Linked DNA regions of Drosophila melanogaster. The protein of the gene in region 2 purifies or fractionates together with the protein of the main gene of each other region. This does not show direct contact. Each region holds a gene or a part of one and is shown on either strand. Other genes may lie near its edges.

Region 1 (4,969 bases), on a different chromosome or scaffold from region 2:
ATAAAAAGTATATTAATTCTTGATCAGGATCAATAGCCGAGTCGATCTGGCCTGGTCCGTCTGTCTGTCCGTCTGTGTGAACGTCGAGATCTCTGGTACTATAAGGTTGAGATTAAGCATACAGATTCTTAAGACATAGAGGCAGCGCAAGTTTGTTGACCCATATTTTGAAAAATGTTTTGATATGTTTTTATAATTTTATTAGACTTGTAAATTTCTATCGATTTGCCAAAAAAATTTGCCACGCCCACTCTAACGCCCTAAAACCGCCCAAAACTGCCACGCCCACACTATTGCAAAATGTTTACATTTTTTTCATAATTTTATAAGTCTTGTAATATTCTATCGGTTAGCCAAACAATTTTTTTCACGTCCACTCTAACGACCTTAAGCTTCCAAACCGGTCACGCCCACACTTTTAAGCCATTTTTAATTTGTTTTTCATTTTATTCCCCATCTATCGATATCCCAGAAAAATTATGAAATTTCGCGTTCGCATTCGCACTAGCTGAGTAACGGGTATCTGATAGTCGTGCAACTCGACTTAAGCATTCTCTCTTGTTTTACATTTCAGTTTTTGGCCACAAGCCGCCCGTATGCATGACCCACGCTTTCAAAATTTTTTATTATATATTTCTTTTTTTTATTTTTTTCCCAACTTCAATCGATATGGAAGAAATTTCTCGTTTGCTCTTTCACTAGCTGAGTAACGGGTATCTGATATTTGGGTATCTTAACTTCGCTTGTTTTTTAGTGAAAGCCATTTTTTTCAAATGGTTTGTACACCTTTATGAGAATGTTATTGCTTTTATTGTATCTCGTAAACTAAATATATGGTAGAAATGGTCTTGATCTTTTAAACACAAGTCATAGGGTTTTCCGTTTGGAATCCACAAGAGTATATGTCGTAAAAGTCCTTGTTCTGTTTAAGGCCCAGATAGAAGACATGCTCGGCCAGATCCTTCCCAAACTCACAGAAGTTCTGAGCGTAAAGAGTAAAAAATATACGCTTGTTGTCAAGATGGTACTTTTGAAGGACGCCATTTTCCTGATCGTATATCCCACTGTTCTGTGGAGGCGAGTTGATCCAGGCGCTGTAGTCTATCCAGGCCGCTCGGAAGCTCTTTAAGTAGATCACAGCCAGCATTCTGGCCTCATCCAGAACATTAACGAACTGCGGCAGCCTTAAACACTCCACATCTTCGCGAAACCGCGTGAAATCACGCTGACGCTCCAGACTATTAAAAAGCATCATGTACAAATGGACCGTAAACGTGGAGTAGAAGTAGGACATGGGCTTGTTGCGGCTCTGAAAGAGGTACATGCTCCAATCCAGCATGGTGCGCTGAACCCCCAATTCGTATGTTGAATTCAGTTTTCTGTGCTGCTCCAGATTGCGAACGTTGTGTTCGTAGCTCTCCCGGTAGATCCGCAGGTCCTTGTACTCCCGGCTCAGGTCTCTAGCATGGAAGTAGACTCGCGGCGTTTTAAATTTCTGCTTATACGTGGCCAGCTTGCTGAGAATGGGATTCGACTCTCTGTCCTTCTGAAACCTGACGACGAAGCGGTCCAAAATGCCCAGAAAGTCATCCAGCTCGTGGGATTCTCCATTGAGCATGTTTTTTGTAACTATATACCCGAAAAGTGGCTTGAAATACTCATAGGTCTCACGATAGCAGTCTTCCAGCGCGTGGTGCACGTTGCAGGAGATGAAGAAGTCCAGCGTCTTCTGCTTAGCCTCGAATGGCTCTGGATCGTTCTGCAGCTCGGTCAGCAACTGCATAAGATCGCCCATTTGCGGCATGTGTCCTTGGATAGGGTATATGCATTAGGCACTCCCCCAACACAGGCTTTCCTCACTTACCCATGATCGAAAAGAGGGGTCGATTGCGGCTACAGACGTAGTCGAAATAGCTCTCGCAGGCATACTTTTCGGTGTTGATGGAGCCCTGTATACGAACCGACAATTTTTCAAGTTCCCTTATCCGCAGCTCCGACAGGTGCCGCACGTATCCCACTTGGCAATGCCCTGAACCAGTCAACATCAACAGAATAAGCGCTACGGATGCGCCGATTGCAAGACTTGAGGTTGTCATCGCAGAGCTCAAGTCACTGGCAACCCAGCTTTTGCGCCAGCCTATCGGACCCCTCAACGGATGTCGGATTTCGTTGCACAGTAGTTCGAGAGAGAGTCACTTTTCAAATACGTCTATCACTGGGCAACGAAACTATTTAACTTCAATTGAAATGTAAGCACAAAACTCCGTATCCCCTGGTATTAAATAACTAAAATAACTTATTGAATGTTTCAATTTTTAGTAAAAACTTTTTTATTACTTTTGACAATATTTAAAAAGATTTTCTGTCCAAGTGGACAATAATTAAATGATTGTGGGCTGACATTGACATAATTTATTTTTATCATAATGAACGTTTGAAAAGCATAGATAGTATTGAAAAATGCCCTATTAGTGCAACTCAGTATATGTTTTTATGGTGTGTTTTCAACATTTTCAACTTATGCTTCTTCAACGTGTTTAACCAAAAATTTATCCGGACTTTAGAAGAACGTTTTGTTGCAGACAGTTACAAACAGTTCTCCAAAATCACAATAATCAATCTTTACCGTTTTACCTTTTTTATTTTATCGCGCACATATAAACGGTCTAAAAACCAATTAAACGCTCACATTCCTATTTTATCATTTTTACTTGAAAATGCAAAAACACCCGAAAGTTCTCGGGTTGTTTGTTGTTTTTATATTGTTGAATTATTAGAACGGATTTATATATGATCTTATTACACTCGCACCACAGTGCATTGCTCAATTCGAGGTCTTATTTTAATTCAGTGAGTGAGTTCCTATGCTTAATTATATTTCCGAAGCGATAAGAATGTCAAGTCCTATCAGGAAAATTTCTCTCCCACTGTTTTTACGATCGCGCTATTCTGGAATATGGGCTTTGCATCGTTTCACAAGTATTACGAGTTATATCTGACTAAGCGTAGACAACAGTGTGCAGTTGCTTATGAAAGGAATGATTTAAATATACATATACATACATAATATACATATATTATATTATATTTGTTGGTTTATAAAAAAAAAGTATTTTTATTGATCAAAAACTTAAGCGAATGTCGGAGACAAATTCACGTCTTACACAATTGAAGTATGAATAAAATCTAAATCTAATTTGCAAAGCGAACGCTTAGCAAACCCTTGGCTGAGCTTATTTACTTCTTCATATTGAGCGTACATAGGCTCTCATTTATGTTTACGTTAATTAGGCGCTCTCTTGAGTGGATTGCGCATGGATATAGATCAGCCGAGTTTGAGCTACGTGGAAAGTTTTGACCCTTAAAGCTGTGTTAGCAGTTTTGACCCTCTGGTGGGAGTCGCGAATGCGGCTGCGGATGTTTATGTCTGTTGGATTGGGTGCCTTCTTGAGTGGATCACTCATGGGTACTGATCAGCCGAGAACTTGAGCTGCGTAAGCGGTTTTGACCCTTTGGTGGGAATAACTGATTCGGCAGCGGATGTTAATGTTTACATTAGGGTAGGCTGGATTTGTTATTGTCACCAGAATTTGGGTTCTTATTGGATACATGATTTTATGACTTATATCCTAAGGCATTCTATGATTTTGTGTATGGCTGTTCCTATGTGGTTATGTATGTGTGTGTGTAAGTATATGTGGTCTTATACTATGGCACATATGCTACTTCCCCATCCTTTAAATTTAGCCTGTCCTCAGGCGGATATTCTAGGATACAATACAGGATTAGTATCAAATACTGTATTTATATTTTCTGTTGTTGTGTTATTTTGTTGTTCTATTTGTTGTGGATTCTCTTTTTTATATTTAACAATTAGTTTTTTGGGAATGCCTTTATATTTATAAATAAAATATAGTATAAGTGTAAGTATTATAATAGCAAGTATAGTTAATGTAATAATTTGTAATGTGTTGTATGTATTAGTGTGTTCTTTAATTATTTCTTTAGCATTTAGATATGATAATGGTTCTAATTTTGTTACATTGTTATTGATATAGACCGTTTGTGTGTAGTCTAGTGTTGTGCTTGTAATTAATATGTTTTCTATTTGAACAGAACAATTAAAAGCTTTTATTATATTGTCTCCTTCTATTATAATTTCTCTATTAATTATACAGTTTTGATTTAATACAATTTTTGATAATTTCCAAGTTAAAATTATGTTTGGTTCTACATAAGTTATTCCAATATTGTTATGTGTTTTTGAATATCTGCATTCTGTTGGTATTTGATTTAATATTCCTGTAATACATTTGTTTATTATTGGTTTTCTTGAGTTTTGTTTGTAAACTTGATTATCTTGAATATAATATTTATCATTTACATTTTCTATAAGTATATTATTATCTTTGTCTGGATATGGTACGATGTTAAAAAGTGCAGTTTTTATAATGTCTCTAGGAATATGGGAAATAATAAGTATTTCATTTGCATCTGATTTTAACCACGTAGAAGTTTTTATATTTAGCAATTTTTCGGAATTTACATGTGATAATGGATCATGTCTTAATAATTTGGGATTAAAAATACCAAGTCTTGTTAATTGCATACCAAGTTCTATATCTTCAATGTATTCGGTAAACTGTTGTAAGTTAAATACTAAAAGTTCTAGTCTTCTGTCACCTTCACTTATTGCGCTTAAATGGTTGATTACTTCAATGCCTCTATTGACTACTTCTATAACTTCATTCAATTCATTAATTTGAATACTATGTTGAGAAAGATCGTATATTTTTTGTTCTAATTCTTCTTTGTCATTTTGATCTAAAGTGCCAAAAAGGTATTTATATGCGGTACCTATAATATTAATTAAACCACGTTTATTGCGTTTTATTATTCTTATTCCATTCATTTCTCTGTCTAATTTTTCAGTTAAATATTGGATTTGGGCTATAGTACCATATTCTTC
Region 2 (6,242 bases):
TTAATGTATATAAATTGAATTGCAGGAGGCCACCGGCGAGGACGATTCCGATCTGTACTTGGAAGAGCGTGAAGCGGCTCTGGCCGAGGAGCAGTCAAATAAACATCAGATGCAGCGTAATATTCCAGGAATGTTGAATCCGCACGAGTTGCCCGAGGATATGCAGGACGAATAGATGTCGATGTCGATGTCGATGTCACTGAGCTAGAATGTTTTAGTTGATGCTTGAGAATGATAAAAGGATGGTGATGTATGAGTGTTTCTCGAGCGAGAAAGTATAAATGTTTGTTTGATTGAATGCATATAAGTACGTTATATATATAAATACATCCACACAAGACCCACAACACTTGCATACACACACATACACATACACCTATACAGATATAGCTGCGTTAAAAGGTGAATGAGTAAATGGTTATTCGTGCGCAATTACATACATTAATATGATTAACATATTTTTGCGCATTGTCCTCGACATACCAGCATAAATAAGATGCCCAGCCAGTTCCCAACTCCCGCTCCCCTATCCACATTATATAGTTGTAAAACGTCATAATAATACTACACGCAACCGATACGAAAGATGCAAACTTTATTGTACTAATATAAAATAATGTTTGTTTGGAATTTTTTAAATGAGTAATTGTAGAAAGATCCGAGTATGAATGAATATTTGAACAAACACAAACACACCTCTCAGAGAAACCCACACAAAAATGAGCAAAGGAAACAAGAATATTAAGATGAAGAAAACCTTAAAGTAAAAATTTAATTGTAGTGACTTAAACAGATCAGATGCTGGCAGGAGTAAACAAAATTGTATGCAATCTTTTTGCATAAATCTAGCATTAACCCGACGTTGAAGACGATGGACGCCGCAATAAGGAGACGATCAAGAAAGCACGGCATCATAACCAGAATAGAGTTCATGCAATGTGTGAAAAAAAAAGAAAACTAAAACGCAAATACCCAAAACACAAATACATCAAGAAAAACAAAAGTAACCATAGAAATGCGTATTAAATCGTTTAAATTTTTACATAATTAGTTTGTACATTAATTTAAATAAAAATCAATTAAAACTACATTGATGTATGATGCAAAGCCACATTTAAGTTTCAATTGTAACGATTTTGATAGTAATATAGTGTACGTATCTAATCTCGTGGAATTTCGCAATTGATTGAAACATTATTGGATTGATGCCAATCAATTTTGAAAGTTTGGTGGGATATCTGTATATCTGAAATGTTTTCGTTTAATCCTTGAGCAACTAGTGTCAAAAGATTTTTATTTCGAATATTTAAAGTCAATTTTAGAGAAAAGTTTATTAAACGTTTGTTGTGGCAGTTGTATTGAACTATAGGTAGATACAATTATTTAGGTCCCGCTTTTTGAGGCACTGATAATCTGTTGTTATGTAGAAAGAGCGTGTCCTTAGAGTAGCCCTTCCAGGTTTCGAAAATGTCCTGGGAAATAAGCCAGGTGTTGCCAACTGGCGTCACGGGATAAACGTCGTCTTTGTTGCTAAAAGGCAGCTCGATTTCGTGCGAGACTTTCAGCTTGAAAGCGGTACCATTAAAGGGTCGTCCAGCATGGAGAGCCACTGTCACATCTTCCAGGAAGAGTCTCCACCGAGGCCTATAGTAGTCGCTCACCAAGCCGGACCACTGTTTGCACGCATAGTCCAGGATCTGACCATCAGGACCCCAGGCGGTAATTTGGTTTCTCGCATTGAATTCGAAGTTTCTTTGTTGCCCAGTGTTCGGTGCCGCTTGCTTGGCCTGCTGCAGCCAGTTGCCGAGCAGAAAATTCCTGCTGCTCGCCAGGATCAGCTCCATGTCATCGAACAGTTTCAACAGCTTGACGCTAAGGAATTCGAAACGCGAAACCTGTCGCTTTCTATAGGCCGACCTTAGATTGATATACAACTGATCTGCGCTGATCTGCAGGAATTGCCTGGTTATGTCCACCAAATCGTGTTCGTATATCTCGTATCTGTTATCCTCTAGCGGTATGATGGCTCTGAAGGTCAGCAACAAGTGCCAGGCATCCAGCACTGCACTTGCATTGTACCAAGTGAAGGGTTCTTGGTTGAAGGAAGGCCTGCGCGTCACTACATACTGTCCCCGCATTTTCTGCAGACCACGGAAGGAATAGACGCTATTCTTTAGGAGCAGCCACGCCTGCTCCAAACGCTCATCCTTAACGCCATACCGGCTGTGTGAGAAATTCGTAAACCAGCTATCCAGATCTAGGGATGTATTACTCCAGCCGCGCTCCAAGGTGAACGAATACATCACATAGTTCTGGCCAATGCCCTCGGGTGTGATTCCCGTGCCCACCAAACTGCTGTTGGGCAAGCGACGCGCCTCTTCTATTCCGGAATTTATCAGCTTCGCTGATCCAAACATTCCAAGTGTGCCGCCGAAATTGTGAAGCATGCACCATATAAAGGGCTGCCCAAAGTAGGAGCGCGTTAGCTCGTATTGCGGAAACTGTTCGCTCTGCAGATCGAGCACCAAAATGCGACCACGTGGTGCGGCCGTGAGGAAAGCTTCAGCCATGTCCGTGGTCCAAAAGGGATTCTTCACGAACATCCAGCCCTGAAGCAACCAAATGGCCTGAGGATCAATGCCGCGCATAGATTCATAAATCGCCGCCGCCGTTGAACGCATGTATTCCGGCTTGGCTACCGGTGGCTCCAGTTCGTTGAAGGGATCGCAGAAGAAGATGTGATTCGAACCATATTTCGTAATGATATTATGCAAAAAACGCGAGGCTATCTCCTTGAAAAGATTCTCCGTGGGTTCCACAAATAAACCGCAGCAGTATCGATCGGGGAACTGGTTCCATCGCTGCACTTCCATGAACGTCGATTCGGGATTCAGACGCTTCAGAGCACGTGGCACATGACCAGCAAAGGCGGGCAAGGCCACGCTCATGCCCAGATTGCGTTGGGCAGTGATAATCTCCTGCTGGAGGAGTAATTGATAGCGTCGCCATGCCGGTGTCAGTGGTCCCGCCCATCCCCGTATGTTGCCCATGCGCTGCCAGGCCTGAAAAGCTGGTCCAGCCAGATGCTCGTCGATTTCCTCCATCCTGAGGCCCATATCCGTGTACACCTTCACCCAAATGGCTTCCTGGACCGGCGCAATAGTCAGACTGATGCCCATCAGGGCCATCCAGTCCAGGTGACGGCGCCACTGCTCAATGCCCCACCATGCAAAGCTATAGCTCCAAGTGCACACGTTCTGGTGATAGATAATCGGGCTTGCTGACTTGGACTCGATGGTCACATTGGGCAGCTGCAAATTGGTGGGCAACTCAATGCGCATCTTGAACCAATCCACGTCCTTGTTTAAAACATATTTGAGGTAGTGATGGAGGGCCTTGCACACGGAAACACCATCCCATCCCATCAGCAGAATCCGGCCATCATCCAACATGCTAATCTGTAAGGTATTTAAAGATTGAAACATTTGTATTGTTTATTTACTTAAAAGTAAATACTTAATAAATAAATATTATTACCTGAAAGCTTCGTAAATCCATATTTTTATTGACTTGCACCTTAAACAATTGAGAAGATCGTTCGCCGATTACTCTACTGATTACCGCCATGGCTGCGGTTTCCTGGACATCTTTGGGTGTGCTGGGTGCCAAGTGGGCAGCCATTTGGAGTCCCATTTCAGGACCTGAAGCCGCATCCCAGTTAAGTTCTGATCCCTGCGCGAGTTGCAGGCAAAGCACCGCTAGCAAGGCCAAGGCCAGCTTCCAATTCAGCTGCATTTCTCCGTCCGTCTATTTACTGCCGTGTGTGTCAATGTCAACGGGGCCCAAGTGACTGACTGACTGACAGCTTCTCCTTCTCTCGCAATTGGGGCTCTCCCGAAGAATGCGGGAACGGAGGAAAGAGCGCTAAGTGAACCCGATGAGAACACAATGGAAGAGAAGAGCAGCTGGATTCCGATCACTTTCTTCTTATCGCCAGATTGAACAATGACGCAGTAGAGTTCTGAAATGCGAGGGATCATCGGATACACTCACTAAGAGTATATTACAACTTTGATAAGAAGTTTGTAGATCAATTTTTCCCTTATTGAGTTTTAAAAATAATATTAAGTTCTGATTTAAAATTAATTGGTAAGCAATGAAAAGGTAAAAAATATATTATCAACTAAAATAATTGTTTGATATTTATGCAACAAAAAACAAAGAACGTCAGATTTTGGAAACTATACAATTTAGAATGGTATTTAAATGTTGGTCTTCGTCGATATCCTTATATTGTAATCCGTGTTATAATGCATTTGTTAAGAAATTAACTGAAAATCGCAAGGCAAATCCATATATCTCGGAAAATATCAAAAAATATATAGTATATATACAGGGTCATTTGAGCTTTATTGCACGTATTTCGTCTTAGACACTAACAATAATTTAGTTTATGCCGCCGACTAAGCAGCGATTTTAAGTACATGTAAACGAAAGAACATTCATTTCTTCTCGTTCGTGTGAAACGATGAATGCTCAGTGTATATAACTCCTAACAAATTGAATAACAATTCAGCGATATATATATGTAAAAAATTATAAACTCACAGCGGACAATGCAACGCGATGCTTTCTACCATTGTTTTTTTTTTTTTTTTTTTGTTTGGCAACAGAATACAATTTCAAAGCCTTGGCCAACAACAAACGTACGTGTACGTCGATGATGTATCTTCTGGTGCTTATGAGCTACTCTTACCATATCTACCATGTACAATTTTAATGTTAAAAGCCTTTCGTGTTGCTCACTATTTTATATGCACAAAATCAAAAATGACTAGCTCTAAACAGCCGCTGGCAATTACACAAATCAACTAATCGCTAAGTAATGCTATTGTTAATATCCTTAAATACAAGTTATGTACGTATGCAATTCATGTCTATGTGTTTTGGTTTTTTGGCTGTGTGAGTTTACTGTACTGACTACAAAAAACAACCTGGTTATAATATTGTTAATCGTTTGCGTTTTAGCTTGGCGCAGTTGGAAGCAAACATATCTTTGGACAAATCACTCTTCAAATTTCACTTTACCACAATCTCGTGCAGTAAATTCGTTGTGCAACACGTTCTTTTCAACCTCCATAGCTTTTTACTCCCCAATCCGAGAGAGATCCATTTCAATTTTATCATATTCCCTTGAAAATCCATTGAAAATAGTAGGAAAGTTACTTAGCTCCTTCTTAAGTATGCTTTTCAAAATCAAAAGTAACAGCATCACGAAAATTTGTGGGCAAAAAAGTTAAAACGTCATTTGGAAACATTAAAATATTGTATGCTGTATCAATAAAATCCTGTTTGATCCCATGTGTGGTTAATTTTAGTAGTTAATCTCGATATTTTTTAACAAGCTATCCATTTGATCTGCTCAACTTTTAAGTTGCACAGCATGTGTTTTTATACGCTTTCATCTTCATAGTTGGTCAGTTGGTCACTTTAGTTGGTTTACTTTAAATCGAGCATTTAACAATTAGGACCTAACAAATCTTGTGGCCACTGTTCTTTTACTTTTGTACTCTTTCCGATCTGGCTGTTTTTCCTTTCTTCGTGATCTGTTGTCCTCTTTACTTCCCGGCATTATGATTTTTCTTTCAAAAGCTCCTTACATCTTTTTGGTACTCAGATTTGGCACAAATAAATGTGGGGTTAGATCCATTTCGCCAGCGATCTGGTGTCCATTATGCTTTCTGTAAATTCGTTGTGCACTCGCGGTCTCCTCCACCAATCCTATTCCTGCTGCCTCCAATTCACTCACTTATGGAGTAAGCCTTTCGTATGCACTTGCTGTGCCTGGTGATTCTCAGCTCCTCGGCATCGTGCGACGAATGCTGTCGATGCGTCACTGTTTCTGGCAGTTCAGTCGAAGACTTGTTCAACGCGTATGTGCGGATGAAGTCGATGGTTGAATAGCCTTGTGTCCCGGAGCATTCTGTTACCTTCTTCGCCTGCGTATCTCCCGTATCAGCAGAGATGCTATTCAGGCTTTGGGTCTGCATGGGCGGTGGGGGAACGTCCAACGTAGTACCTGCCTCTGGAGTTACTGGTGCGGTGACAGCTGCTGGGGTGGAGATCAGTGATAAGCCGCTGCCAAATCCATTGATCGCCTTTGATGAACCCGCCGGTCCCACGGGACTTCGCGGCTGATCAAGATCCAGCACTATATAGTTTACTCCGCAGCTGCCCGCTAA
Region 3 (7,946 bases), on a different chromosome or scaffold from region 2:
TGCAAAAACCTTACATATGGCGTTTTATTTTGCTTACGCATCGATTAGCATCTAGCTGCAATAAAGTCCCCCAAACTTGGGGAACTCCCAGGAGTGTTCACTGCTGAGCCATGCCAGAATAAATACTTTTAACCAATTCAGCTCACTCGGAAAGAAGGCAGCACTTAAAAGCCCTGCAAATTGGGGATTCTCAACTCTATTTCCGACGTTTTATTGTGCTCGAAGGGTTCTGGGAAGTCGCAGCCTTTGACAAACGAAAGTCAAAATATTTTTATTAAAATTAAAATGCTTACGCAGACAAAGGTTTGTGGTTCCATTTTTTCATTTTCGGTTGCAATGGCAACCCTTGGAGCCTTTGTCTATGCATGAATTATTATGGAGCATACCCCGGCTGACGCATCCCATACATACGACGTATATTATTAATATGCAACGCAGTCTAGCCGCAAAATTTTAATCCTTTTAAGTGAGGCCGCCAGACATCGGGCAAATCGTTTAATCTTTTTATTGAATAGCCCTTGGAGTTTTGGGCAATCGAAGGAAAGAGTTTCACATCTGTTTGGCGGACATAAATCTAATTTCGAATGTCCCGCCTGTGTGTGACTGACTGAGACATCCCAACTCCTCCTTTTGGCGAATGCAAATCGTCGTCGGCTTACTGTTGTCATAACAATTCCATTAACGAGGACTGTCTGTCTGATTTGGCATATTTATGAGCTTAGGAAATTGAATTGAATTATTCAGAGCGACAAAAAGGAGGCCTCTAATACATGATGGTATCATTTGCTGAAAATGAATTCTATTGGCGGGGATTTCCTTCTTTCTTGACTCGCAAAATGATTGTTAAATGTATTCTATACCAGATCGATCCAATCGGCCAAATAATGAAAACATTTTGGCATTTGGCATTTGGCAAATGCCCCAAAACCGCACGAATGCAATGTGTCTGGTCTGGTCTGGTCTGGTCGGCGCCCCACGCACCATCGAGCATAATAAATCCGATTCGAATCTGATCTATCCCAACATCAGGGGTTGACATTTAAATTAACACCCATGTGGTATGGCTGCATGGGGGTTGGAATCAGGACCTGTGCGACAGGACTTGGCTCAGTCCTTTCGCTTAGCTGCTGGCAGTTGGTTGGATTCAAAGGCTCTTGCTTTGGTTTTGACATTTAGTTTTATTTTTCGCTGTAAATTTTCATCGGTACAAATGAAAATGGAAACTTGAGTATAACTAACATACTATTCAATTTCGTTTAAATTACATAATATTAAACTAGATGCTTGCCATTAGATTTATCTGCTTTAGTTCCCTCTTTGTTTGCTGCTTTAGTTTCAGTTGTAGTTGATTTGTTTCCCTCAATTGTCTAGTTGGTGTTTTCCATTTTTACACAAATCAAAAGGAGGATCATCACTCCAACTAAACACTATAAAGCGGTGCCATCGCGGCTGGCTCTGTGTAAGGGTGCTATATATGTATAGGAGATATGGGGACGACAGAGGGTCGAACACGACAGAAATGCAACGATAATACGGCAAAAGTACGTACAGAGTTGACTAAACCGAAACGAGTGTGTGTGTGGTGTGTGTGTGTAGTTTGTGGGAGATGTCGGCTGCCTTGGCGAACAAACATTTTGGTTGTTGCTGCTTCGCAACCGCTGGCTTTTGGAATTGGATTAAGTTTTTTTTTTTCTTTAGAGTTGCAGTGTTTGTTTTCGGATTCGGCATGTGGGGATGCCCGCTTACTCCTTGCGCGCTTGACGCTTGCGTGTTTTTGTGTTAGATTCCTAAAGAGAATAACGTTGAGATTAGTTCTGGTGGTGGACACAAGCAAGCTTATTTTTGAACGCACCTCAGTCTGTGCGGGCTCTCGGCTCTCCGCCGCCTTGGACTCCTCTTCGTTATCATCTAAATCAGACTTTTGGTTCTTCTTGGGACTAGCGGACAGCGGTGTGCTCTCCTTGCTGGTATCGCCAGCGGCCCTTTCGTCGCTCTCCTCCTCGGCCTCGGGCTCATCGTCGGGCTGAGGATCGTCGGACTTCTTGGCCTCGGCAGCAGCCTTTTTGGCAGCCGAGTCCTAATAGCAAAAGTGGGATTAGTAAATTCCTTATGAAGATCTCAAGTGAAAGCTCGAGCATCATTACCTGACTCTTAGCGGTACCAAATCTACAGTAGATGGTGAGGGCAACCAGCGCCACAATGGCCACCAAGCCAATGCCCCAGATCGAGGGATTGGCCTTGGCTAGCTCGACTACCTTATTCACGAATGAGTCCTATTAATGAGAAAGCCAAAGAATAGCAGTAGCAATTACAGGTGCACGGTGCAGGGCAAATATGAGAGGTGTTCATGTGGTTGTACTGTAGGCACTTCTAATTAAAATTTGAAAGCGTAAGACAAGACCGGAGCCAACCTCTTTGGCGCGTCGGTAGAGATAGAAGACATAACAACTGGCCGGAATGAGCAGGTACACGAAGTACAGGGCCCACCAGCCGGGCTTGTAGTTCATGCGGCGCATTAGGCGGTGCCAGAAGGTTTTCTTCGAATTGGATAGAGAAGTCTCTCGATTACGAATCCCTGTGTTTATTTGTGAAGGGAAAACGGAAGAGGTTAGGGGTTTTAAACTTACCGATTCACGATCGATGTAGCGACGCTTGATGTCGAAGCTGTTGGCGGCAAAGTCACGGGCCACCTCCACGTCGTCCGTGATGATTAGGTTGTCGAAGAGAATATCGCTGGACATGGACCACAGTTCCAGACCCACAGCGCTCTAAATAGAGTTAGTTTGGCTATAGCAAAGTGGACAACGAAAGCCATGCAAATTGCACTTACGATGGGCGTCATTTGGAAGGGCTTCAGATCCTCAAAGAAGTCTGGATTGGGAATCTTCCTGGGTGCCCACTTGCCCTGGTAGTTGGGGTTCTCGATCATTGGTGCACGCCACTTGCCCTTGTAGTTGGGATTGGGGATGAGCGGAGCCTTCCACTTGCCACAGCCGGGAGCCTTCTCGCACACTGGATTGTCCACCAATGGAGCCTCCCACTCGCCATCGATTTCGGCATCCCAATCCTCGGGTTTGGTGGCAGTTGGATCGAAAATCATGTCGGGCTCATCTTCGAGCCAGCCATTGGGCATGACGGCATCGGTATCGGGCAACTGGGGTGGAGCATCCTCATCCCAATCCTCGGGCTTGTGGGCAGTGGGATCTGGGATCTTCTCTCGCTCATCCCACGATTCGGGCTTGTGGTCATTGGGGTCGTCGATCTCTGCCGGCGGGTTGACTGGTGGCTTGAAATCGGTTAGCAGGGAACCCTCATTGATGATCTTGTGGTCAACGCGAATCTCAAAGCTGTTATCGGGACGGACCACCAGCTGGTAGAGATGGGGTAGCTTGTCCTTGAATGGCTCTTCCAAACGGTTCCTGAAAGCAAAGAACAAAAGAATATTATTCATCGATGGGATTATAAATATACGGTTTATCTGCCTCTTCAGAAATTCAGCTCATCAATGGGGGCAATAGTCCACCATCGGTGACGAAGAGCCAAACGGGTGATAAAGGTGAGCAAAGGTGATTTCGGAGATATTACACGTATGCGCAATGTCGAACACCAATTTTGTTTCTATACAACGCTCGGAAACTTTCAAGCAAGATGGTTAGAGTGGTGATTCTATTGATAGCGATAACGCTTGAACGAGCTGCTCATTTCCAATCTGCCAAAGAGTTGCGTTCATTTAATGGACTCACTTTGGCTTGTTGCAGTGCTTCTCGGTGATGGTGCCATTAATTGGATTGACGTGCCGGAATATGAAGTGCATTTTCACATCGTTGCCGCACTTGTCCGGTCCAAACATGATGGTATAGGGTGTCTTGTCATTGAACTACGAGTAAACAGATTCGGTTTCGGGGGTTGTTTACGATGTATGTTCTTTGGGGTTCAGGCGAGTGTGATCTATGAGGGCATTGGCCCCCGCACTTACCGCTTTTAGTTGCTCCGTGTCTTTTCCGGCGGACAAAAGCTTCAGATACGAGCCACCGCACTCCTGACCCTCCTAAAAACAAAAAAACAAAAACAAAAAAACGAGAATAAGCCGGGGGAGAACGAGAATTGGGTCAGTAAGCGGGTATTAATTGGATTTGCCCGGCGGCTGATGCAATCCCAGAGCGTTTCGCTAGGTGACGAACCTGCAACGTGACCTCGTACTGCACCACCAGCGGCTTGTCCGACTTGAACTCGAACGGTTTGCGGAGGGGGGCGGCTATGGCCGCGTGTTTGGCCTTCGACTTGAGCACCAGACCCAAGTCGTTAGCCCAAACGATGCGCTGCGGCGACTCCCAGTTCCAGATGCCGTCGTACTTGGAGATCTCCTCGGCGATGTCGTCCTTCTTGGCCTGCGACAGCACCCACCTCTTCCTGGACTCCTCCACGTCGTCGAAGTGATCCGCGAAGTGGAACTTCTTGGCATCGATAACCGGGCTCTCGTAGGCCAGCTTCTCATCGCCACCGATGACGGCGGGCTCCTCCTGCAAAGCATATGTGGAAACATTAGATAAGGTGCCATAAAATCCGAAGCACGCGGTTGTCAGTGGGGAAAGTGATAAAGAGAGGGAGAGAAAGATGGGTGGCCAGCATGGGTTTGAATTGGAGAGCGCTACACCTGGGCCCGCCAGACTAGTTATAGCTATATAATAACATGTTTTATGTTGCTCTTAGCTTGACCTCATCTGTAGCAGTAACTCCCCTAGAAACATAAATGACTGGCATAATTTCTAGAGAAACAAGCACGTTAAATAGAAGCTCTGCTCAATAAACCTCTGATGTAACCTGTGGAGCAACAGATTAGCGCATTCTTGGTGCTGCCATGGGGAGTTGCTATCTGCTTGACCTCGTCTGTTGGTAAACAGTTTTATTTTCCCTCGCATTCGGATTTGTTGCTGGAAAAGTGAGACACACTCGCATGCTAATTGTGGGTCATAAAGCGAAGAAGCCGGCCGCACCAACACCCCCCTCCCCCACAACCACCTTCCCCTACCCTCACAGCAATAGCGTTTCGCCTTTTCTTCTAGTAGCTTCCACTGACGTGTACTTTTTTCTCTCGTTTTTTTTATCTTACGAACCGCATCGTCGGACCAACTACTCACCTGCACATCCTCCACATAACCATCCTCGAAGTCGTCCGACTCCGTGTCCAAATCGGCGGCATTGGCCGCACTCAGCAGCAGCAAACTGCTGGCGAAGAGCAACGCCAGCGTTGCGGCCCGGTTTCCTCCCATTTTCCACGCCATTTTCACCCACTTTTCGCTCGCTCGCTGGCTGCCTGGCTGGGATTTAGTATCCGCGGAAAACCAGGTGGTGGACTCACTTGTGCGCGCTGTGCTTTTCAACAGTTTTCCCCCACTGCGGTCTGTTGCGGAATAACAAGAATCGAGATCTGGCACGACGAACTATTTGTAATTAAATTAATGTAAATTATACATTTTCTCTGCTGCGCTGCCTACTGTGTTCTGTGCTTCCTCTTCGCCTGCTTTGGTATGCCGCCGCAAAGGACAACTGGTCACACTGTCGCGTTGCGTTGTACCCTACCGTAGGGTATATATAGTTTTTAAGATACTTACTCAAGCTAGAATCTTTAATAATTGCACGTTCTTAGGAAGAGCACACTTTCAGCGGGACCAGAATATAATTGATTTGATGATTATGTTTGTGCTAAATAAAAGTAAGGAATATGTCAGATTTATTAATTTTATATACTTATTTGCTATTTAATAAATTAAGAATACTTTTGTTACCTTAAAACCACCCTCATGACCTCCCTAACCTGGTTTTGACCTAGAAAGTCTTAGTTTTAAAATTCATTAGAATAATCAAATAAATAATAATTACTATGTTATATCAACTATTATAATTCTCCCTATCATTTTTAGGATTAAAAATCTGTTAGTCTTAAGTAACCAAGACACATTGTAAAATAAAATAATTTAAGCAGATCAAATTAAGTTGCCGCATGGGTAACAGTGCGTTGATCAAATAATAAAAACATCATCGTAATCGTTACCTTAAGCATATCGATATGCCTCACTCCAATCGTCGTTACAGGGTTTGGAACTCCGATAAGTTTGTAGTACAGACTTACCCCCAGACGCTAATTGAATGTTGCATACTTTTCACTGCTAATCATAATTAATACATGATCATAATACAGAATGAAATATATAAACAAATACAATGTTATAAATAAAGAATAAATGGTTACAAGGGGAAAGAAAGCTGCATGTTTTCATTTGAGACATATAAATTCGCATAAACCACCATAAAATAATCGTTTTTCAGCCATAACTTGAGAAATATTGTCCGAAATATGGATTGTCATACCTTGTTGGACTCGTAATCGAACTCCCCTTCCAACCAAAATCAAATTTTGGAAAAAAAATTTTGAGCCAAATTTTGCAAAAAATGATGATGGTACCCCTTACAAAAAATTCAAAAATGGCCAAAATATGGATTTTGGAAAAACGGTCAAAAAGTTATATGCCCTGTTAGTTTAGGTCAAAAGATGTACAAAAAAGTTAGTTTCGTAGATTTCTGACTATTTTGAGCCAAGTAGTGACGAAAAACGTCTAAGAAAATACGTAATTTCCATATTGACAGTTTTGCCTTAATAAATTTGCACGGAAATTCGCAAACCAGTTAAAGCCTATTTTTGTTAATTATGTATGCTAATTTTTAAATTAATTTCAATCGGAATTAGGATTATCTAGGACTCGTAGCAGGCACCACTCTAGTATTTTGTTATTTTCCCTCGCCGACCATATTGAAATTAATATTTGTGCGATGTGCGATTTCCACTGAAATATTGGCATACATTTATTTTCCACTGGACATATCTGAATCAAACACTCCGTGGCATGAAAGTAGTCTTGCATGTTGCAATTATTTTAAAAGCCCGGCGGCTCAATTAATGCCCCACAACGGGAATGGCTAAGCCCCCCAATAAACTTGATGGCTGGCGGCAAAAGTTTCCCTTTGCCACGCGTGGCTCTAAAAAATAAAGTGGCATGCATTTGAGCATAAAATTATAATAAAAATTCCTAACTTATTGGCAGGATTTGTGTGGGTGGGGTCCATTCGTTGCCACGCCTTCTTTGTGCTGAGAAAATAGGTGTATAAATTTAAGAAAATAACAATAAAATTATTACAAATTAGAAGCATTGAAGGAAACGCACATTTTCCACACAAATGAACAGGTACATATATAATATTCAAGATTAACAGATTTTTCCCAGTGCACATCCTTTAACTGTGGCAACTTATCTGCGGCACGCGCAATTCTGCTGCTGCTTCTATTGCTGCCACTGACAGTTTTTCTTTCTTTTTTTTTGTTTGCAACTGCATACAAAAAGCTTTCTGTTTAATGGAATATTTAACACAATTTAAAAAGTTTTTTTCTAAAGACAAACAAAGACTCGGAAGCACACATGTGGGTGGGTGGTGCATATACATAATAGTGGGGGGCGGGGGGTAGGTGTGTTCGGAAGAAGAGGCAACTTTTGTTGGAGCCTCCGGACTGCAGAAAACTAAACACGTGCGCACAGACGTTTCTTTTTTTTTTATGGAAATTGTGTAATGACAGTTAATGAGGGTACTACATAAACAGACACAAGCACACCTCCAACACTCACACATGCAGCTTTTTAAAACGCCCCACCTGAGCATAAACAGCCAGTGTTGTCAAGTGTTCTATTAACAACGAGGCCAGCTTACCAACACTTCAGCCGGATTCCTGCACACGACGGCGATGTTCCACTGTACAGTAAATGTGGGAAAATACTTAACATTTAAACTAAAGTCCAGAGATACAAACTCAACATTATTAGATTGCACCCTTCTTTATTTTCAATGTTTTTTGCCCCAAGTAGAATTCCAAAAACATATATTAAACGCTTATGATA
Region 4 (4,224 bases), 8.1 Mb from region 2:
CGGCTGTGTGCACCGGCAACTGCCTGACCCTGATTGTAGGTCAGGCAGTGTGCGGCGGTCACAATGGTCACCTCATCGAGCAAGCTTCCTGCACAGAAGTGCGAGTTGGATGTGGTCTGTAAGGACACAATATAGGGCGCCTCTCCCTTCGCCGCTTCATAGCCGTTGATGATGCGACCTTCGGGGAATCCCGGCTGAGGGACAGAAATGGCCGAAACCGAAGCCAGAGCCAGTGCGAATATAACCGCGAATTGTTTCATTTTGAGTTCTCTGTCGAGTTTGTTCCACTGCCAAATAGCCTAGCGCCTTATATAGGTCTCTTCAATCTCCAATTTGAACTGTAAGCACTCCAAGCACCAGTTATCGTTATCACCGAAGAGATTTACGATCATCACCGGCATATTCTTGGCCCCGATATGATTTCGCTTTGTCCTGCTCTTGCGCCTTTGACTGATACGAGTTCTAATATCTCAACACATGCATGCACTTAAGGCACAGAAGAAGCTTCCTTGCAGCCAACATGTCTGGCTTTTGGCCCCGATCTGGATGGCAAGTTTCTATTTGTTCACATACAGGTTACTTTGTCTGAGTGTGTTAATTGTATTTGTCTTAAAACAATAGTAGAGACTTTGTGTATTTGGCAAACAATGATTAGAAGCTAGCATGCCCTGATAATAAATGATGAAATATGAAAACATAAGTGTAAATATTATTGAGTCTTCTAAAAACAACCTTAAATGTATTTGGGAATTATTTTTAGTAGCGCCAAAAAGCATCTAGAAAAATTTAACTTTTAAAGTTGTAAATTTTCATGCGTCATCCTTGTATTCTTTGTTGTATTAAACGTTGTTTTAGCAACATGTTGATTCTTAGAATTCGAACTTTGTAAAGCTTTTCCAATCTCTTTGTTCAATATTATTTAGCACTTTTTTAATAGCAATGATAAGGAGCTTTCAGTCCGGTTAGATTTGATTGGTCGAGTGCATGACTTTCGATACTGGATCGTCTATCAATGGCACACGCCTCCAAAAGTCTGGGCTTTTCCAGAGCTTATATTAGAAACCATAAATCAAGAGACAAATGGTGTGTTCGGGACCGTCTTTAATCCAGTTCCGATTACAGTTCGATTCAAGGGTAATCAGACACAATAAATTGTAGAAAAGCAAACAGAGACTGGACTTTCATTGCCTATAATTATTTCACAATCGATCAATCGGAGGGGTGTACAAAACTAGTTTCTTTTTGAACGTTTTTGCTTTGCGTTGAAGAGGATGGTATTTTAGAAAGAATAAACGCAAAAAAGTTACAAGACAAGTTTTAGTTGGATGCTTTTATTCAACAATCGATCATGACTCTGATCAATAGCGATTTCGATCCTGGCTAATAGATCTGACTAATAGTTTCTTCCTTTTGTTTAGAAGAGCTTGTAGTAGGCACTCTGAATATTGGTTATCCAATCAATGTAGGCCGACACCTTGGTGTAAATGGAAGGCATGTTGGCCAGTCCGCAGGGGATGTAGCCCCAGGATACGATGCCAATCAGCTCGGAGGGGGCGTTTGTGAACTCAACAACCAGGGGGCCGCCGGAGTCACCGTTGCATGCAGACTTGCTCTGTTGCAGGGAAGAGGAGCAGATGTTGGACTCAGCGATAGGAGCGCTTTCCGGCAGCTCCTCCTTGCACTCCTCGTAGTTCAAAATTTGGGTGGTCACAGTCTGCAGGGTCTTGGCGCCCGAGAAGATGTAGGACTTTGGCTGTCCCCAACCGTACAGGTGGGTCTCTCCCTCATGGACTTGTTCACGGCTGGGCAAGGTGGCGGGCTGCACCCACTCGTTGAAGATGAAAGACTCGTTCACGTGCAGCAGGGCAATGTCGTAGGGCCCAACGCCACCGGTGTACTTCTCGTGGACGCGGCCAAAGTCAACTTGGCGCTGCTGGGTCAGCTCATCCACCTCGGCACGGGTGTGGAGTCCGGCAATGATGCTCATGCCTACTGGCTCGGAAATGCAATGAGCAGCAGTCACAATCCAGTCCTTGTTAATCAAGGTGCCTCCGCAGATGTGCGAGTGCTTCAAGTAGTTGGTCGCCAGGGAAACAATGTACGGGGCGGAGTGGGGTTCTGCCTCCGTGCCGTTGATCACGAAGCCGGTCGCAAAGCTAGGCACGAGTTTGGCCAGCTTGTCGGAGAGCTTGGCTCCCTGGGCGGCGGCCACAAGGGCAATAACCAAAGTCACAGTGATCAGTTTCATTCTGCAGATTTACGGAGAATGTATACTGACTACCAACTAATGGCACCTTTTATACTTGCCCACCACTAGAGATAAGCAGATAGATTTATGAATAGTATTTGACGATTAGTTAATTTCGTCTGAATTGATTACGATTGTCCGATATGAGTACGCGTATTTAATAGTAACTTGTTCTTGAATGGGAAAAGCCCTGGAAATCTGCGCCCACGTGGGTGTGCGTAATGTGCTAACCGAGGTGTTGACACGGCAAGGTCGACCACGGCCCAGTCTCAAAGGATGCTATAAATACTGACCCCTCTCGATGGGGTTCTCCCAGCTGGCGTTCAAAGCCAATTAAGAGAGGAGGAAGAGATTTCATACCCCTGAAGTGACCGCGTGTTTGCGTAAACATTTTCAGGACAACATCCACACCATGGGACATGTGGCCCTAATGACACATGGTTGCAGCTTGTTCCGGACAGTCGGCAATTAGTGCATGCAAGGATGCACTCCGCGATCTTCATTGTGTCCTCTTACGCGCTTCAAAGGTTAATTGCAAAATTTAAATGCCACAGCACCAGGAGGTTAAAATAGTACATGTAGCCTAAGACGGAGCTTAAACTTAAATTATATTTTACATGCTACATACATACATACAATATATGCATATATGTTAGGTAATGTGGAGAAGTTGAATGTCCCACTCCATGTAATTTTTTAAAGCCACATTAAAAACGTAATCTCTTAATTCCCGGTATCAGAGGTTAGTCCAATATTTCTATAATCGAACTAGTTCTTTGAGTTACTGCTGCACTCCAGGGGTTTTCTCTCTTTCCTCTGCATGGCAAAGCTTTTTGGTCTTGTACTATAAAAGGCCAGTTGCTTTTCGGCGTCCGGTTTAGACGATTCAAATTCTCAACCGTATCAGTGATGTTATCGCCGCTTTTCCTGCTGCCCCTCTTGGCTTTGGCCGGAGCGGCTAAACTTCCGCACATTCAACACCTGACATTGAGGGATACAGAACAAGTTCACGCAGAGATCCAGCCCCTGATTATAGATGGCTACGATGTGCAGGGGGTGGACAATGTGCCCTACCTGGTGTCCCTGTCCTTGACAAGGGCCACCTATACCCACTTGTGCGGGGCATCCATCATTGGCAAACGATGGCTCCTGACGGCTGCTCATTGTGTCGATGAACTGCGCACCTTCAACGGAGATGCCGTAGGAACACCCGTTTACGCTGGAATCATCAACCGGTCGAACGTGACGGCCGCCCAAGTGCGCTACGTCGACTTCGCCTCAACGCATCGGTCTTTCAATGGAAACGCCGGAAGTGACAATATAGCCTTGCTCCACGTCTCTGAGAGCTTCGAGTACAACGCTCGAGTTCAGCAGATCGCCCTGCCCGACATCAATGATGATTACAGCAATAAGACAGCTGCTGCTTATGGCTGGGGACTCACCGACCCCGATGGCGACGAGTACTCCAAAGAGTTGCAGTATGCCTTCGCTCCCCTACTCAATAGCACGGGTTGCAAGGAGTTGCTGCCCGCAGACGCTCCTCTGACGGCGCAGCAGGTGTGCTCTCAGGTAAAGACCTGCTACGGAGACGGAGGCACTCCCCTGATCTACTGGCCCATCACTGGACCGGCGGAGTTGGTGGGCCTCGGATCCTGGAGCTATATGCCGTGCGGATATGCCAATCGGCCAACGGTGTACACCTCTGTACCCCCTTACATTGGATGGATCCACCAAACGATCGGCGCCTACTACCAGCTTAACTGAGAGTCGTGGTGTCGAAGGGGAGATCTTTGCGTAATACTCTAGCAGTACATTAAAGTAAACACCGCGCGTTTTCGTATCTTATCACAGAGCTCGTTAACGTGAATAGAAAACCTTGTTTTATTGCTCGATAAGTGGACGGCTGATTGCCTGAAATCGAACTACTATTTATAATTGCCGATCAGCTGGCGATTTATGATTTATGATAGAGTCTT

What was found.
Region 1: the proteins of Naglu (region 2) and CG1092 purify together in Drosophila melanogaster (affinity purification with mass spectrometry, with the first as the bait; one large-scale study listed by BioGRID). This does not show direct contact.
Region 3: the proteins of Naglu (region 2) and Cnx99A purify together in Drosophila melanogaster (affinity purification with mass spectrometry, with the first as the bait; one large-scale study listed by BioGRID). This does not show direct contact.
Region 4: the proteins of Naglu (region 2) and CG11911 purify together in Drosophila melanogaster (affinity purification with mass spectrometry, with the first as the bait; one large-scale study listed by BioGRID). This does not show direct contact.

What each region holds. Positions count from the first base shown.
Region 1 is NT_033777.3:4,264,101-4,269,069, reverse strand, and holds CG1092 (uncharacterized protein), read right to left. Parts: upstream 2,301-4,969; 5' UTR 2,097-2,300; coding exon 1,865-2,096; intron 1,810-1,864; coding exon 857-1,809; 3' UTR 754-856; downstream 1-753.
Region 2 is NT_033779.5:8,407,750-8,413,991, forward strand, and holds Naglu (N-acetyl-alpha-glucosaminidase), read right to left. Parts: upstream 4,120-6,242; 5' UTR 3,796-4,119; coding exon 3,538-3,795; intron 3,459-3,537; coding exon 1,380-3,458; 3' UTR 1,300-1,379; downstream 1-1,299. Other genes in the region: emb (embargoed), read left to right, coding at 26-175; CG13398 (uncharacterized protein), read right to left, coding at 5,802-6,242.
Region 3 is NT_033777.3:29,314,093-29,322,038, forward strand, and holds Cnx99A (calnexin 99A), read right to left. Parts: upstream 5,553-7,946; 5' UTR 5,496-5,552; exon of another isoform or gene 5,442-5,495; 5' UTR 5,283-5,441; coding exon 5,139-5,282; intron 4,521-5,138; coding exon 4,182-4,520; intron 4,049-4,181; coding exon 3,977-4,048; intron 3,878-3,976; coding exon 3,744-3,877; intron 3,420-3,743; coding exon 2,831-3,419; intron 2,769-2,830; coding exon 2,628-2,768; intron 2,538-2,627; coding exon of another isoform or gene 2,412-2,537; intron 2,274-2,411; coding exon 2,145-2,273; intron 2,078-2,144; coding exon 1,853-2,077; intron 1,788-1,852; coding exon 1,743-1,787; 3' UTR 1,162-1,742; downstream 1-1,161.
Region 4 is NT_033779.5:318,974-323,197, forward strand, and holds CG11911 (uncharacterized protein), read right to left. Parts: upstream 2,276-4,224; 5' UTR 2,249-2,275; coding exon 1,415-2,248; 3' UTR 1,306-1,414; downstream 1-1,305. Other genes in the region: CG11912 (uncharacterized protein), read right to left, coding at 1-260; CG33127 (uncharacterized protein), read left to right, coding at 3,158-4,012.